Struthio camelus: one gene and its partner. The protein of the gene in region 1 binds, or shares a complex with, the protein of each later gene. Links are inferred from orthologs where the notes say so. Each region holds a gene or a part of one and is shown in the gene's direction. Other genes may lie near its edges.

Region 1 (7,015 bases):
TTGCCTGTTGCTGCAGGACTTGAGCAGGGCTCTGCCAGTGCTGCCCTCTCCGTGCTGACGGTCTTTGCTTCCTCTTCCAGGGGACCCTGGAGTGCCTGGAGGAGGAGCTGCTGGCCTTTTTCTCCGTCACCCCTCACTCAGTCTACACAGCACTGATGGACAACAGGTATTTCCACAGTCTCCCTTGTGCTCCCCGTATCTGATCCTTGAGTTTGCTGGGAGGAGCTGGGCAGGACAACACTTGGGGGGATGCTGGTCTGAGACATGCCAGCTCTAACTCTCCTGTTCCCCTTCTCCTCCAGCTTCGAGCGACTCCTGCTCCATGCGCTCTGCCAATACATGGACCTCGTCTCTGCCAGTAAGAGCCTCGCACTTGTTTGCTTGTGTTTTCCCCTTCTCTGCATTGCTATCTTTCCTCTCCAGCTCAGCCTCTTCCTCCCTTCCTCCTCCCAGCCCCACCTTCTGCTGCGGCTCACAGATAACCCTGCTTTCCTGCCCCCACTGCCTGTAACTCCTTCGGGAGCCTCAGCCACGCTCACGCTGCTTAGCCAGCAGCCGCGGCTGGTGGACGACATCGGTTACGGCCCGGGGTCAGGCAATCCCAGCGCTGCCTTGGCTGCAGTCCCCTTGCCCGCGTTGCCCTTGCCAAGGGTGCAGGGAGCTCTCCTGGGCTGACCTAACTGGGGCTGGATCCTGCCCCACATCCTGGGAGCTCAGCCCCTCTTGGGACTGAGCTGTCTCCTCGCACAGAAGGTTGCGCCTTGTCCCCACCATTTAGGCTTTACTCTGGGCTGAGCGTCCCTCCTGCTCCCGGTCGTCCTGTGCCTCTCCAGAGGCTCAGCGGCCTGGACGCCACGTGCGTGTGGCTTGTGTGGGCTGAAGTCCATCCGCCATGGTCGTGGCCAGGCCCAGCTCTGCCTAGGGACATCTCATTCCCAGCAGCGCAGCCACGTCTCCTCTTGTTTTTGGGTTTGGATGCTTGCCTGGCTCGCTCCTTGCGGCTGCTGTGTCGTCCCACAGAGCGCAGCCATGCCTGCACCTTGCCCATGGGTTTCTTTAAAGGGTCTTGTTGCCAAGGCATCCTACAAGAGGCGCTGGTCTTTGCCTCTGCAAATGAACCTTTGCCACTCAGCATTTCATTAGCAGCTGCTTGTGGAAAATGACAGAAGAGCTCTAATGATGTGAAGTGAAGCCTGTGGTGCCAGCAGGGATGTGTGGGGAGAGCGGACCGTTGCTCTTTCTGCATCTCTGCAGAGCATGGGGCAACCTTTGTTAGAAATGAGCTGCAGGGACTCATCGGGAGGAGTGGAGCAGCTGCGAGGAGAGAGCTGCAGCTGGGCCGGGGATGTCCCACTTGGCACCTTCCTGCAGCAGGATGCTGTGGGACCCCCTGGCTGAGGGACAGTGGTACCTTAACCGCTCTGACTTGCCCCCAGGTTCAGACATCGAAGGGAAACGCCAAATGAAAGTGAGCAACAAGCACCGCGTCTTCCTGCCCCCCGAGCTCTTGCTCTCAGACTACCTGGAGCAGATGAGCTGATACGCCGAAGGATGCCCTGCCCCTCGCTTGGTGTGCTGAAGGCTTTGTCCATCTGCTCCTGGCCTCTCCCAGTCGCTTGGTCCCTGTCACCCGGATAAGCCTGGTCTGCCGCTCGCCTCTCCCCTTGCGCAGCGCAGGGACCACAAGGCGCAGTGTGGATCGGCTCCCTCCATGTGCCCTGCTTCGGGGCTCTTCCCTTCCCCACCTCCAAGAGCAGATGCTCGAGATGACAGCCGCGATACGTGGTGCAGAGCAAGGGGCTTGCAGCCATGCCCTCCGTCCCAATGTAGCCCCGGGCCTGCTCCGAGGAACAGCGCTCTGATTCCCTCAGGAATACGTCGACTCGGCCCACAGGCTTGGTCACCGGCACGTGCACGAGGTGTGACCACAGTCTGGACAGCGCAGGGCTGAACATGGTGCACGCTGCCGTCCCAGCCTCTCCGGGTGCAGCCGAGGGGTGGAGAGGTGGGGTGAGACCTGCTCATCTTGTCACACCAAGGTGGAAGCGTTTGCTCAGCTGCTGGCATGCTTTCTGCAGAGGCCAGATTGTCTTTTTTTTTTCCCAGGCCAGCGCTCTCTGTTCTTAATCTGGCAGAGAGACTCCAGGCTGCATGGTGCTGTGAGATATCACCATGCTCAGGGCGCAAGGCGTGGGCAAAGCAGGTGCCTATCTGCCGTGCTTGCCCTGTTTCCCTGGTTGCTGCACTATTTCCCAGCAGGAGCTGCTCTGCCTGGAAGTGTTTGTGAGTCTATTTATAGCCCAGATGCTTTTAAAAATGAGCAGGCTGGACCAAAACCACCTTTGGCACTGTGATGCTTCCGGGGTGATTTTGGCCCAGGTATTTCTATGATGAAATAGTTCCTCACAGCTGCTGACTTCCTCGGCTCAGATGTGGCTGAGCAAACGCTGAGCAAGTGGAAGAGCCTCTGATCTGTCGCCCTCTTGAAGGGGAAAGTGCTTTGCTTCAGGACCAGCAGTTTGACACCAGTGATGGAGCTTATGGTAAAGCTCAGCCCCTGCCCATCTCCTCAGTAAAGGGACTGAAAGCAGCTTTGTGAGAAAAGAGCTGCCTCGGTTCTGGAGTCACACCCAAGACCAAGGACTGGAGAGTGATCCAGAGGAGCAAGAACATTTGGACCTGGGTTGATAGGGACGGGAAAGAGATTTCTGCCTAAAGGGAAGCCTCTGGGCCTGAGCAGCAGGACTGGGCATCCCTTCCCCGGTCTGAGCTCCGGGACTCTTGCCCCGGTGTTTAAGCGCCGCAGCGGGAGGCAAAACTCTCCTGCAGAGCCCCCTTGGTCTCCCGGCCAGCCTGGTCCGAGCTGCTGCTGCTGCTCTGGTTTGCAGTTGGTGTGAGAAGCTGGTGCGCAGACCTGCCTTTTATATTTGGGGGGTAATGGGCTGTTTTTAAATGTAACATAGTGTGTCTTTTATATGTTTGTGTGTGTGCGCCAGCACAGCTCCAGGCTGTGTGGTCGGAGCTCCTGCTGGTTGCCCGTCTTGCTTGGCTGGGGCAGGGCTCAGCCTCCCGGCGTGGTCGTGCGGGACGGGCGAGGGTGCTTGTGGGTGTTGTGTGTCCTGTGTGTTGGTGCGTGTCTCTGCTATGTGTCGAGGGCTCCTCTCGTGTCTGTAGCAGCTAGAGACATGCAGGACGGCGGAGCTCGCTCGGCCGGGCAGAGGAGCGCTGCTGAGGATGGGGCAGCGGCGTGCTGGGCCGTTGCCTGCCGCGGATGGAGTGGGGCTGGGGGGGAAAGCCGGGAAAGTCGTCGCTCCTCTCGTCTGTTTGCGTGATGTGGAAACAGGTGGCGTTTACGCAGGAACAATAAACCATGGTGCTCCTGACGGCTGCTGGTGTTGCGTGCATGGTGTTGGGGCTGCCCTGGGGGTTTGGGAGTTGGGGCACGGGCTGGGGTTTGGGGCAGAGGTTGGGATGCAGGAGGGGGGAATTTAGGGAGCAGAGGGGGGACCCTCTTCTGGCTCTGCCTGAGAAAAGGCATGGCTGGGTGAAAAAAATATGGAACGCTTCACGAATTTGCGTGTCATCCTTGCGCAGGGGCCATGCTAATCTTCTCTGTATCGTTCCAATTTTAGTATATGTGCTGCCGAAGCGAGCACGAAACCCGGTGTCCCCCCGAAGCTATTTATAGCTCCCTCATTAGATAATACACTGGTTAGGGTGATACAGAGGTAGCGTCACTAGGCACTTTTGAATGCCATCTTAACAACTTCTCCTATTCTAAATGACTCACTTTTCTTTGATTTCGCCAGACTCGTCCAAATCCACCGGTTATAATTCCTCCCGAAGCGCCGGTGGATCCTGGGTAGCCCTCTATGTAAATTAGCACGGCTGTCTCGCCGAGGGGGCCTCTGTCTCGGGCTGCCCGCGGCAAGTGCCTGAGCGCCCCGCGCGGGGCAGGGCGGGGGCTCTGCACAGGCGCGCGGCAGGCAGCCCGGCGGGGGCGGGGGGGCGGACGGGGTCCTTCCGGCGCGGCGGGAGGCGGCGCGGGGCCGCGGACGGTGAGTGGGGCCGCTCCCGCCGCCCCCCCCCCCCGGGCAGTTCCCCCCCCCTCGCCCCCCCCGGGGGGCAGCGACCGCCCCCGGAGGCGGATACCCCTCCCTCACCCCGGGGAGGCCGGTTCCTCCTCCCTTACCCCCCTTTTGGGGGGGGCACCGACCGCCCCGAGGGGGCCCTTCCCCCTCCTTCACCCCGGGGGGGGCAAATCCCCCTCCCCCACCCCCCGAGGGGCCCGGAGTCCCCCCAGGGGGGCAGTTCCCCCCCCTCACCCCGTATAGGGGTTGGGTGTCCTCCCTTGTTCCCCTCGGGGGCAGCTCCCCCTCTCCCCAGCCCTCCGTGGAGGGCAGCCCCCCCCCCACAACAGACAGTTCCCCCCCACCCCTGTCAGAGGGGCTTGTGCCCTTCCCCTCCCCCCCCAGCTGCTGGGGGGGGGTTGGGGCAGCCCGGCCCCTGCGGATGAGGTGCTGTTGGGGCCGGGCAGGTTTCGCTGGGGGAGCTGGTTTAACTGGGCCTGTGTCTGTGACTTGTAGAACTGGCTGGGTTTTTTGCATCTAAAAGGCACCTTTTTCCGCTTTCTGTAGGCACCGAAAGCTGTGTGTCTGCTTCCCATGGGCCAGCGGGGCCTCTGGGGGTTACCCGAGGCGCAATGGATTTGGCATATGTCTGTGAGTGGGAGAAGAGGCCGAAAAGCAACCACTGTCCTTCCATCCCCTTAGTGTGTGCTTGGTCCTGCAGAAACCTGATCGCTTTCACCACAGACCTCAAAAATGAGGAGGAAAAAGGTACAGCGTGCTTGCGAAAGGTTGCTCAGTAACATGGAAACTTATGCTTCTTCCTTTTTCTAACATTCCTGAGATTTAATGAGTGTTTCATTCACTGGTGAGTGGTTCTCAGGCTCTGCGGAACCAGGGCGAGTTCTGCACTATTACCAGTTATCTCACCTGAGCTGCCAAGCGCAGTTATTGTCCTTCCCATAATTGTTTGACAGAAAATAGTCTGTGGCTCCCCCTGCATCAGCTCAGGATCTGTGGGTTGAGAAACACTTGCTAAGGAGTTAGTAACGAGGCACAGTGACTCATTTCTCTCTTCATGCAGATCTCACCCACATGGTCCACATCATTGACACGGAGCATCCATGGGATGTCTATTCTGTTAACTCTGGCCACGTTGAAATCATCACTTGTTTGGAATGGGATCAGTCAGGTGAGTTTGGATCCTTTCTCATTATCCCTTTGTTCCACCCTTCCTTCATGCGCACACAGGTCATAAAACGATGGTGCGTGATAGCTTGTAGAAAGGGATTTTGTGAGTCTTTCTGTTTTGACTGCATGTGCCGTTAGGGGTTGTACTGCACCCATCGTTTCATAGCCATTAATTGTTTGACTCTGGTAAATCTGCACTGGGATATTTTGATTTCTTGATTCCTAGTGATTTTTTTTCTGTACCCACTGGTTCTAACGAGGCTGTTTTACTGTAGGCTCCAGGCTCCTCTCGGCAGATGCAGATGGACACATTAAATGCTGGAGCATGACTGATCACTTGGCCAACAGCTGGGAGAACACTGTGGGCAGTATGGTGGAAGGAGACCCTGTTGTGGCCCTGTCCTGGCTACACAATGGTGTGAAGCTGGCTCTGCATGTGGAAAAGGTTTGTCTCAGCTGTGCATGGGGATCCAGTGAGGAAAGCTGGCTCAGGTTGTTAGCAAAGGACTTGGGAAACCTATGTTTATGACCCTACTCTGCCATGGTTTTTCTCCGTGACCTTGGGCAGGTCAAGCAGGGGAATTTTTAAAGTCAAAAAAGGAAACTCAGATTCCTAGTTCCTGCTGAGTTGCAGCAGGAATTAAATACCTTGTTTCTCTTGGTGCTTTAAACATGTCTTTCTTAGTCTGTCTGCTTCAGTGTCCTTGGCTGTAAAAGGGAGATAAAAAGCATTTCTTTGCCTACCAGCGATATTGTGGAAGAAATGCATTCCAGGTCATGAGCTTTGATCCAGGGATTTGGTAATGACAGCTGTATGCGTACATAGATAAGCTGCTTGTTTAGCAACATGTCTAATTCTGTCAGGCTCACAAAACAGAAAATCTGCCAAGTAGAAGCTACCTGCTTACGTTTTTAAAATGTTTACTTCTGCAGTGTTCCAATGAGAGAAATGTTTCCCTCTCTTTAGACCTCGGGGACCTGAGGCACAGAAACTTAAGGGGCTGTGCAATAGGTTAGTGTCAGAGCTGGAAATGGCCGCAGAAGGGAGAGGGGGCATTGGCTCTTCCAGGTTCAGTCTGCGTATATGAGGTAGGAGCTCTCTGAGATGCTCTGAGAGCTTTGCTGAGGGGTTGATAAGTTCCTGCTGCTGCCTGTAAAACCAGAACTGCCCTGACCCAGGGAGAAAGGGGCTTCTGCAAGGTCACAGCACAGAGTTGGACATATGAACTCGATGCCCTGATTTCAGCCTCTGTTCAGCTCCCCAGACCATGCTGCAGTGACTTAGAGGAGAGCCATGCAGTTGTAGGTGCGTTGCAGATATCAGATACAAACGTCCTTGTGTTATTTATCTTCTCTTACAGTCTGGAGCATCAAACTTTGGTGAGAAGTTTTCCAGGGTCAAGTTCTCTCCGTCCCTGACTCTGTTTGGCGGGAAGCCCATGGAAGGCTGGATTGCCGTGACCATCAGTGGTCTGGTGACAGTATCTCTCCTCAAGCCCAATGGGCAGGTGCTGACATCCACAGAGAGCCTGTGCCGTCTCCGTTGTCGTGTTGCCTTGGCAGATGTTGCCTTCACTGGCGGTGGGAACATTGTGGTGGCCACGTCAGATGGCAGCAGCACCTCCCCTGTCCAGTTCTACAAAGTCTGCGTCAGCGTGGTGAATGAGAAGTGCAAAATAGACACTGAAATCCTGCCGTCCCTTTTCATGCGTTGCACCACAGACCCTGCCCGCAAAGACAAATATCCAGCAATCACT
Region 2 (7,083 bases), on another chromosome or scaffold:
AGAGAGCATAATACTCCAAACTCATCAGCACCACCGCATCCCTGGTGCCCACCGCAACAAATTAGTCAAGCAAACCTACTTAAGAGTTAAAATGATGGCGTTTGTAGCAATTGAGACTGTGGAGCTGTTCAACCCTCCTCCTTGCTTAAAAAGGGAAGGGGGGGGAGGGTCGAATGAGTTCTCCCCTACCTACTCTTTATGCCAACATCAGCAAAGACTAAGATAACCTTTCTTTTTCCCCTCCTGCCCCCCTCAGCTCTTCAAGCAGCTCTATCTTTGCTTTGATCTTAGCTTAGGCTCAAACCCTGAGCGCCAGGTCCCCGCTGCCTCAGCGCGCCCGGCGCCGCTGCGAGGAGTTCCGGGCAGGGCCGGGCCGGGCCTCTCCCCTCCCGGCCAACGGCCCCGCCATGTCGGCCGCGCTCGCACCGGCGCTGCGCTGCGCTGCGCCCGCTGCCCGGCGCGCACCGACCGCTCCTGCCCACCCGCCTCCGCAGAGGACCCCCGCGGCCGCCATGAGGTGGCCCGCCGCGCCCCCTCACCTGTGGCGGCGGCGGCCGCAGCAGCAACGCCGCGCAGGGCCCCCAGGAGCCCCAGGAGCACCACGGCGCAAGGCGGCAGTCGCATGGCGCTGCGGAGGGAAGCGGAGAGGCGGCTCAGAGCGGGCGAGAGGCGGAGGCGGCGGCGGGAGGCACCGCGGCGCCCGGCCCGCCCCCGAGCCCGCCGTGAGGAGACGCCGCGGGGGGAGGGGCGGCACGGCACGGACCAGCGCGCGGGGGCCGCGGTAACGGTCCTAACCGCCGCCCCCACGGCTCTTTATCTTGCCCGGCCCAACCGCCGCCTCCGGCCCGCTGCTGCTTGGCCAGGCTTCCAGGCTGGGGAGAGGGGGAGGGAGGGGAATCTGTTTTTCTTAAAGCCTCCTTTTTTTTTTTCCTCTCTCTTTTCTTAACGTCCCCGCGGTTTGTTTCGCAGCGCTCTTGTCAAGTGCTGCGGAGCGCTCCCGCACACGGGAAGCGCTCTCGCAGCCGGCCCAGGCGCCTCCGCTTGCGGCCGTGATTCATGCGCACGGGACAGGGGAAGCGGGAGGCAAACTCAAAGTCTTCCCGCTTCTCGCCCTTGCTCTTTGGAGTTCTTGCCAATGCGAAGCTGCTCTCGTGAATATCTGCGCCTCGTTTATGAATTCAGGCAATAACCTAAACCTTGAGCAAGCGTAAGCCGTGCGCCATCACCCTCCCTCCCCTCCCCTCCCCTCCCCAGCTTTAATCCATTTTTCAGTTAACAGAATGTAAAATAAAGCTCTCATTCTGACATCCAACAAACAAAGAGATGCATACTGGTTCATGTTTAAGACTATAGTTATTTCAGTCAAATGGGTGAACTCTCTTCTGCCTACCTTTGCCTAAGGTCCTTCGGAAGGCAGCCTGTCTCAGTAAGGATATCTAGTTTACTGATTTTTTTTTCCTTCTGCCCAACAAGGTTCCTTAGGTCAAAATAAGTAACGTTGAAAGACTGTTAGGTTTAGCGCTTTGCTCTGAGCCACTGTCCGTCAGAGTCGGCGGTGAGACCTCGGCTGTTCTTTGTTCACGGCTCCACGTGCACACTACTTGCCCGTGTCGCAGAGGAACAGAGCCTGAGAGAGGCTTGTCTCATGCCGCGCGCCTCATTTATTCCAGGCTCACGCCAGCATCCGTTCAAATTGTGGAAGTCCAAAAAAAGCCCGTTCATTTCCAAAACAGCTGGAACTCCCTTAAAAATGAGCAGTACTTTTTGCTATACAACATAGCGCTTTGGTGACTTGGCTTTTTAACCAAGGAGTGCGAAGAAAACACGCATCCTAGTTTATGCATGCAGGCCAGCAAAATCAAGGGTGTAAGCCCGACCATATTATTAGAAACACACTTTTGTCAGAGTAGTTAATATGGGGGCAAAGAGGGTAGCTGGGGGAGCCTCAAGAAGATTCCTCCACAGACACATTGCTGCTGGGTGGCTGCACTCGCAGCTTCTCAGAAAAGTTAGTCAGAAGAGACCTCTGGAGGTCTCTAGCTAAACCGCTCACTTGAAGCTAGACTATGGCTGACACCAGATCAGATCAGCCATGGCTTCATCTAGCCAAGTCATACAGACCTTGAAGGCCTGAGAGCACACAGCCTCTCTGCGGGACCTGTCCCAGTGCCGCATTGCCCTCCTCGTGCTGAATAGATTTCCTAATGTTCACCTGGGCCCTCCCAAGGCCATAACCGTGGTCATCAGCAGAGGTCCCTGACTGGGGAAAAGCTAACGTTATACCCATCTTTCAGATAGGTGAGAAGGAAGAACTACAGACCAGCCAGTCAGCCTCACCTCCAGGAGCACATTCCTTCCCTTGGGATCCATTTCCAGTCGGGTGACGGGCACCAAGATAATCAGGAACAGACAGTGAAGATTTACCAAGGGCCAAACATTCTTGAACAACCTGATTGCCTTCTGCAGTTAAATGACTGGGGTGTGGACAAGCAAAGATTAGCAATGTAAAAATACTTAGACTTCAGTAAGGCTTTTGATGTCGTCTCCCACAGCAAAAGTATCAGCCAACTCTTTCAGGCCCTCTGGGTGCTACGCTGGTTATCAGCCACCAACTGGACATCAAACCATTGATTACAAGCTTGGAAGCCCAACGGTCCAGCTGATTTTCAATCCATCTAACAGCCATCTCATCCAGTCCGTACTCCCTGAACTTCCCAGTGAGAATGCTGTGGGAATACCTATATCAGAAGATTTTGTATCACAGACAGGATCATTATCCTGTAAGTTTATCTTTAGCTGTTCAATGACCAAAGCTAAATATCAGCGTACTGACTTGCACAAATTGGTATTTCCTATTTGGTAACCTGCAGGTATAGCAAACTCCTGCTGAATGTAAGCTGGACTGTTGAAGATATTACCACTCCTGGCTTTTTACCGCTCCTGGTCACTCGACATTATCACCTACTCAGCTCAAGTGCTGGAGTGGACCATCAGAGTGCTACTTCTGTCTTTATCCAGAGGCAGAAAGATTGTTGTACAGCAAAAGCTGTACACTTTGTGGCTCACCAGCCTTCTATTGTCAATAATACAAGAATTCAGTTTTTTACCGAACTACAATATCACGTGAGTATGTACTTGTGTCTCGGAGAGAAATAAATTGACTTGAAATGCCAGTTCTATACCGAATAGCACATTTTATAGTGCTTTTTCCTCTTCTGTCTCAGTACTTGCCCCTGTTGAACTACTCATAATACATTCTGGGCCGAGTTCTTGTCCCATTAAAATAAAATGATATTGCTCACCATGACTCTTAATGATACCTGGATTTGCCCTTGGGAACCTGTTCTTTCTAAGGCCCTTGTAACTGAATGCAAATTATCTAGAAGGTTGTAGTCAGCCTCTGGATGCCCCTATAGCTGCTGCTATCCCATGAGATTAGAGACATCTGTTCTGAAGCATTCATCATAGGTAACACTTGTGTTATGATATATTACTGATATGTGCAGAGCTGCTTCTCATTCTTACCATGAAGGCAGCTTAACAAAAATTCACTCCAATTTTTGCTTTCAAGTTACTAACTCAGACTAACCTAACTATGACCCTGATTGTGGGCAGAAGAGAAAGAGACTTGTGGTTATCCAGAAGCTAACAAAGCTGGCAGGACTGTGGACGGGCACGAGGGTCCGCGGGCAGGAAAGGCCCAGGCTAAGGTCCGAGCCTACCTTTCTAAACGTAATTACTTGACGTTGGGGCTGTGGCCGCAGCCCCGCAGAAGCGCCTGCGTTGTCTCTGTACAGCCCAGGCGTGCGTGCGCTGCCTGCCTCCGCACAAGCGGGTCAACAGCTGCAAACTGCACCAAAGGCAAGGAAGCAAAAAGCCTAAGAAAGTGGTTTCCTGCCGTTTTGAAAGGCGGGCTGCCCCGGTTCTTACCGCAGCGCCCCCAGCCCGGCCCCTGCCCCGCCGCAGCGCCGGGCTCCTCCCGGCCTGCAGGGGGCGCGCCAGGCGGCGCCCCCTCCCCCGCCCACCTTCTAACATCGAGGCGTCCCATTGGCTGCGCCGGCTGCCAGGCGCCTTGTCGGGAGGTGGGGGCGGGGGGGTGGCGGCGGCGGCGGCGGCGCTATGGCGGATCGGTTAACGCAGCTGCAGGACGCGGTGAACTCGGTGAGTGCCGCGCCGGGGGCGCCGCTTTCTTCCTTCTCCACCCCCCTCCTTGCTGTCCGCCGCCGCGCCCAGCCGTTGTTGGCCGTTGGGGGCGCGAGCGGGGCGCCTCCCGCTTCCCCCCCCCCGCCCCCGTCAGGGCGCAACAGCCGGCGGCGGCCCCGAGCCCCGGCGGCCCCGCTCGCCCTGGCGGTCGTGGGCTGCGGGTGCGCTCCCGCCTAACCCCGGGGGGCAGCTGTGCTGCCTGAGGGCCGCTGGGATGAAAAATAAGCCTGAAATGTCTTTAGACTGAAGTAATTTAACCCTCTCTTTACTGCCTGTAGCTCGCAGACCAGTTCTGTAACGCCATCGGCGTGTTGCAGCAGTGTGGCCCCCCTGCCTCTTTCAGCAACATTCAGACAGCAATAAACAAAGATCAGCCTGCTAATCCAACAGAAGGCAAGTCTTTATTTCTGGGTCTGCCCGCTCAGGGTGAACACGCTCTGGTACAGTATGCACAGTAATTCAAGATTTGTATTCTATTTTGTGCTTAGCAAGCATTATTCCAGCAGTAACTGGAGGAGTGATTCAGGTCAAATCATAAATTGATGTCAGCTGCACGTGCTGTATAAGAATTTTGTGTGTTAACTGAGTGTTGAAAAGCATTTCTTGTGCAGATACAGTAAGCCTTCAGATATAATAGGACTTTAATAGGACAGCTGTGAGATGCTTTTACTGACTTGTCCGTTATTTTGAAAATTTGTTTTTGAGAATGAGTGTAATTTTTATCAAATAATGCATGAGTTTAAAACTTTCCGTTTACAGTTTTAACTTTTCCTGTGTTTCTTCAGGCGTTGTCTGCTTATCTAATTGATTAAATAATACTACCTTGTTAAATCGCCCTCTTGGCATTTGGGGTTGGGGGTGGTGCTGAGAGAAAAGGATCTAATCTATGGCATTGCAACTGGAAAGCAGACTAAAAGACAGTTCTCTCCTCAATCTGAGAATTTAAAGTTAGTAATCAAATAAGCATGTTATTCTAATCCTGGGTACCTTTCAATGCTTCTGTGGATGTTCTGGTCAAAGCATTTTGCTAAATGATGATTTCTTTTTTGGCTGCTGTGTATTTTCCTGAGAAAATTTGCATGTATCTTGTATCAGATTAGATTTGACTATTGGGATATCAGGGGAGACTGGTTTGGAGCACAGTGATGCTCTTTTCAGGACAGCTGTTGTCTCATCCTTCATTGGTTTGCTCTCTGGTGTGGGAATTAGTTGGAGAAGGTAGCCGAAAGGTTGGCTCGCTTCCTCACGTCACTAGCTGCTGTCCCAGGTACTAAGTATCAACATGACGACTTTGGAGCTCAGAGGTTTGTTAAGGTCTTAAAATCATAGTCCATGATCATCTTTTGTTTTGTCTTGTCCTGAAGCTCTGAATAAAGTGAATTCAGTAAAATCGTACAGCCAAGTTAGCGATGCTGATCAGACCAGACTAAACTACTAGTTGCATGTCTTCAGATAGCTAAAGTCTTGATAAGAAGGCCTTAAAAGCATATAGAACACTTGTTTACAGGCCAAGAGTATATATGGGATGACACTGAGCAAGCTTTAATGATATGTGTTTTGTTTTGTTTTTTAATTAAAGTCAAGTCTACCTCTGAGAATGTCAATCTCTGCTATAGATCTTACCATTAGAAAATATTTTGTCTTGCTGCATGAAAGATCTTTGGAAGCAATCAACATAAAATGTGTAAGATCTTAAGCTATAAGCTAAGGAGGGATGTCTGAATATTTTAGCTAGAGTTATGAACTTCCAAGTCAAACTCAAGGTGATTTTCTGCCTTATAGGGCTTCTTTGGAAGAACTGTATGCACTTTTAATATGATTTTTGTAGCCAAAATAAGATCTATTACAAACTTGTCTCTTTTTCCTTTCTCCGTGACAATTAACTTTTCCTCTGGCTGATCTTTTTTCTTCTTCAAAAAATCTTCTCAGATTCTTTCACTAATGGTCTGTTCCTTGACATAATAACTTACTCTGTGCATTTGAATCTCTATTACTATTTTCATGTAATTTCTAGTGTTCTTATATATAGTGGCAGATTTGAAGGCAAAGATTGAAAGGTTAAATGAGTTGCTAGCTATTTCTGAATACTTAATGTAGCGACTAGGACACTTGATACCTTTCACTAGTAATTTCTGAAGTGGCTAACCATGATGGAGTTCTAGCTATTTTCTCATTTCTTAAAAGAAGCAGTGCAAGGAGAAATGTTAACACTTGAATGCTTCAGATCTTTTTAATATTCTGTACTCCATATGCAGAATTGTGCTTATTTCTAATAATGTATCGAGTAGGCTGATATTTATTTATTTATTTTTAAGAATACGCCCAACTGTTTGCAGCACTGATTGCACGAACTGCAAAGGATATCGATGTTCTAATAGATTCCTTGCCTAGCGAGGAATCGACAGCTGCTTTGCAGGTAAGAGCATTCTTAATTAAACTATCAAAACATAACTGAAGACAGCTTACTTGCTTTCTTTCAGCACACTTTCTTACTCTTCAGACCATGTAATTTTGAAAAATGGCTTCAATGTAAGCCTGAATTTTTCATGAGGTTAGACGATGAATTCTGTGTAGGCTCACTGGAAATCCTGCTTCTTGCATCTAGTTCTTAATTAAATTCTACGCAGTGTGAATATTTTAAACTTATTTTTCTCTTAGAAGGGTTTCAAAAAAAAATCTGCTTTTTGATAACATCACAGTATTCTAAGCAGCTATGTGTTTTTTTCCAGCTTTTCAAATACTAATACAGCAGATGCAACATTGGCTTTTTTTCTTGGATAACCTTTCATATTCTTCTGCCCATTAGATGTTTTGTTTTGTATCTGCAGAGTCAATGTTTTATTGAAGCCTTATGTTCTCCTACAACGTTACTAACTGTTA

What was found. Proteins that work in one complex are often made in the same cells at the same time.
Region 2: MED16 (region 1) and MED21 share a complex: the UniProt entries of both Homo sapiens proteins name them as parts of the mediator complex. The link is inferred for Struthio camelus from reciprocal best matches to the Homo sapiens genes MED16 and MED21.

The regions. Positions count from the first base shown.
Region 1 is NC_090967.1:7,420,138-7,427,152, forward strand, and holds the start of MED16 (mediator of RNA polymerase II transcription subunit 16), read left to right. Parts: upstream 1-4,002; 5' UTR 4,003-4,058; intron 4,059-4,637; 5' UTR 4,638-4,702; coding exon 4,703-4,838; intron 4,839-5,151; coding exon 5,152-5,259; intron 5,260-5,533; coding exon 5,534-5,703; intron 5,704-6,619; coding exon 6,620-7,015. Other genes in the region: R3HDM4 (R3H domain-containing protein 4), read left to right, coding at 81-166, 303-358, 1,437-1,540. UniProt on the Homo sapiens protein: Component of the Mediator complex, a coactivator involved in the regulated transcription of nearly all RNA polymerase II-dependent genes.
Region 2 is NC_090942.1:77,129,348-77,136,430, forward strand, and holds the start of MED21 (mediator of RNA polymerase II transcription subunit 21), read left to right. Parts: upstream 1-4,080; 5' UTR 4,081-4,119; coding exon 4,120-4,161; intron 4,162-4,481; coding exon 4,482-4,596; intron 4,597-6,518; coding exon 6,519-6,619; intron 6,620-7,083. Other genes in the region: TM7SF3 (transmembrane 7 superfamily member 3), read right to left, coding at 540-624. UniProt on the Homo sapiens protein: Component of the Mediator complex, a coactivator involved in the regulated transcription of nearly all RNA polymerase II-dependent genes.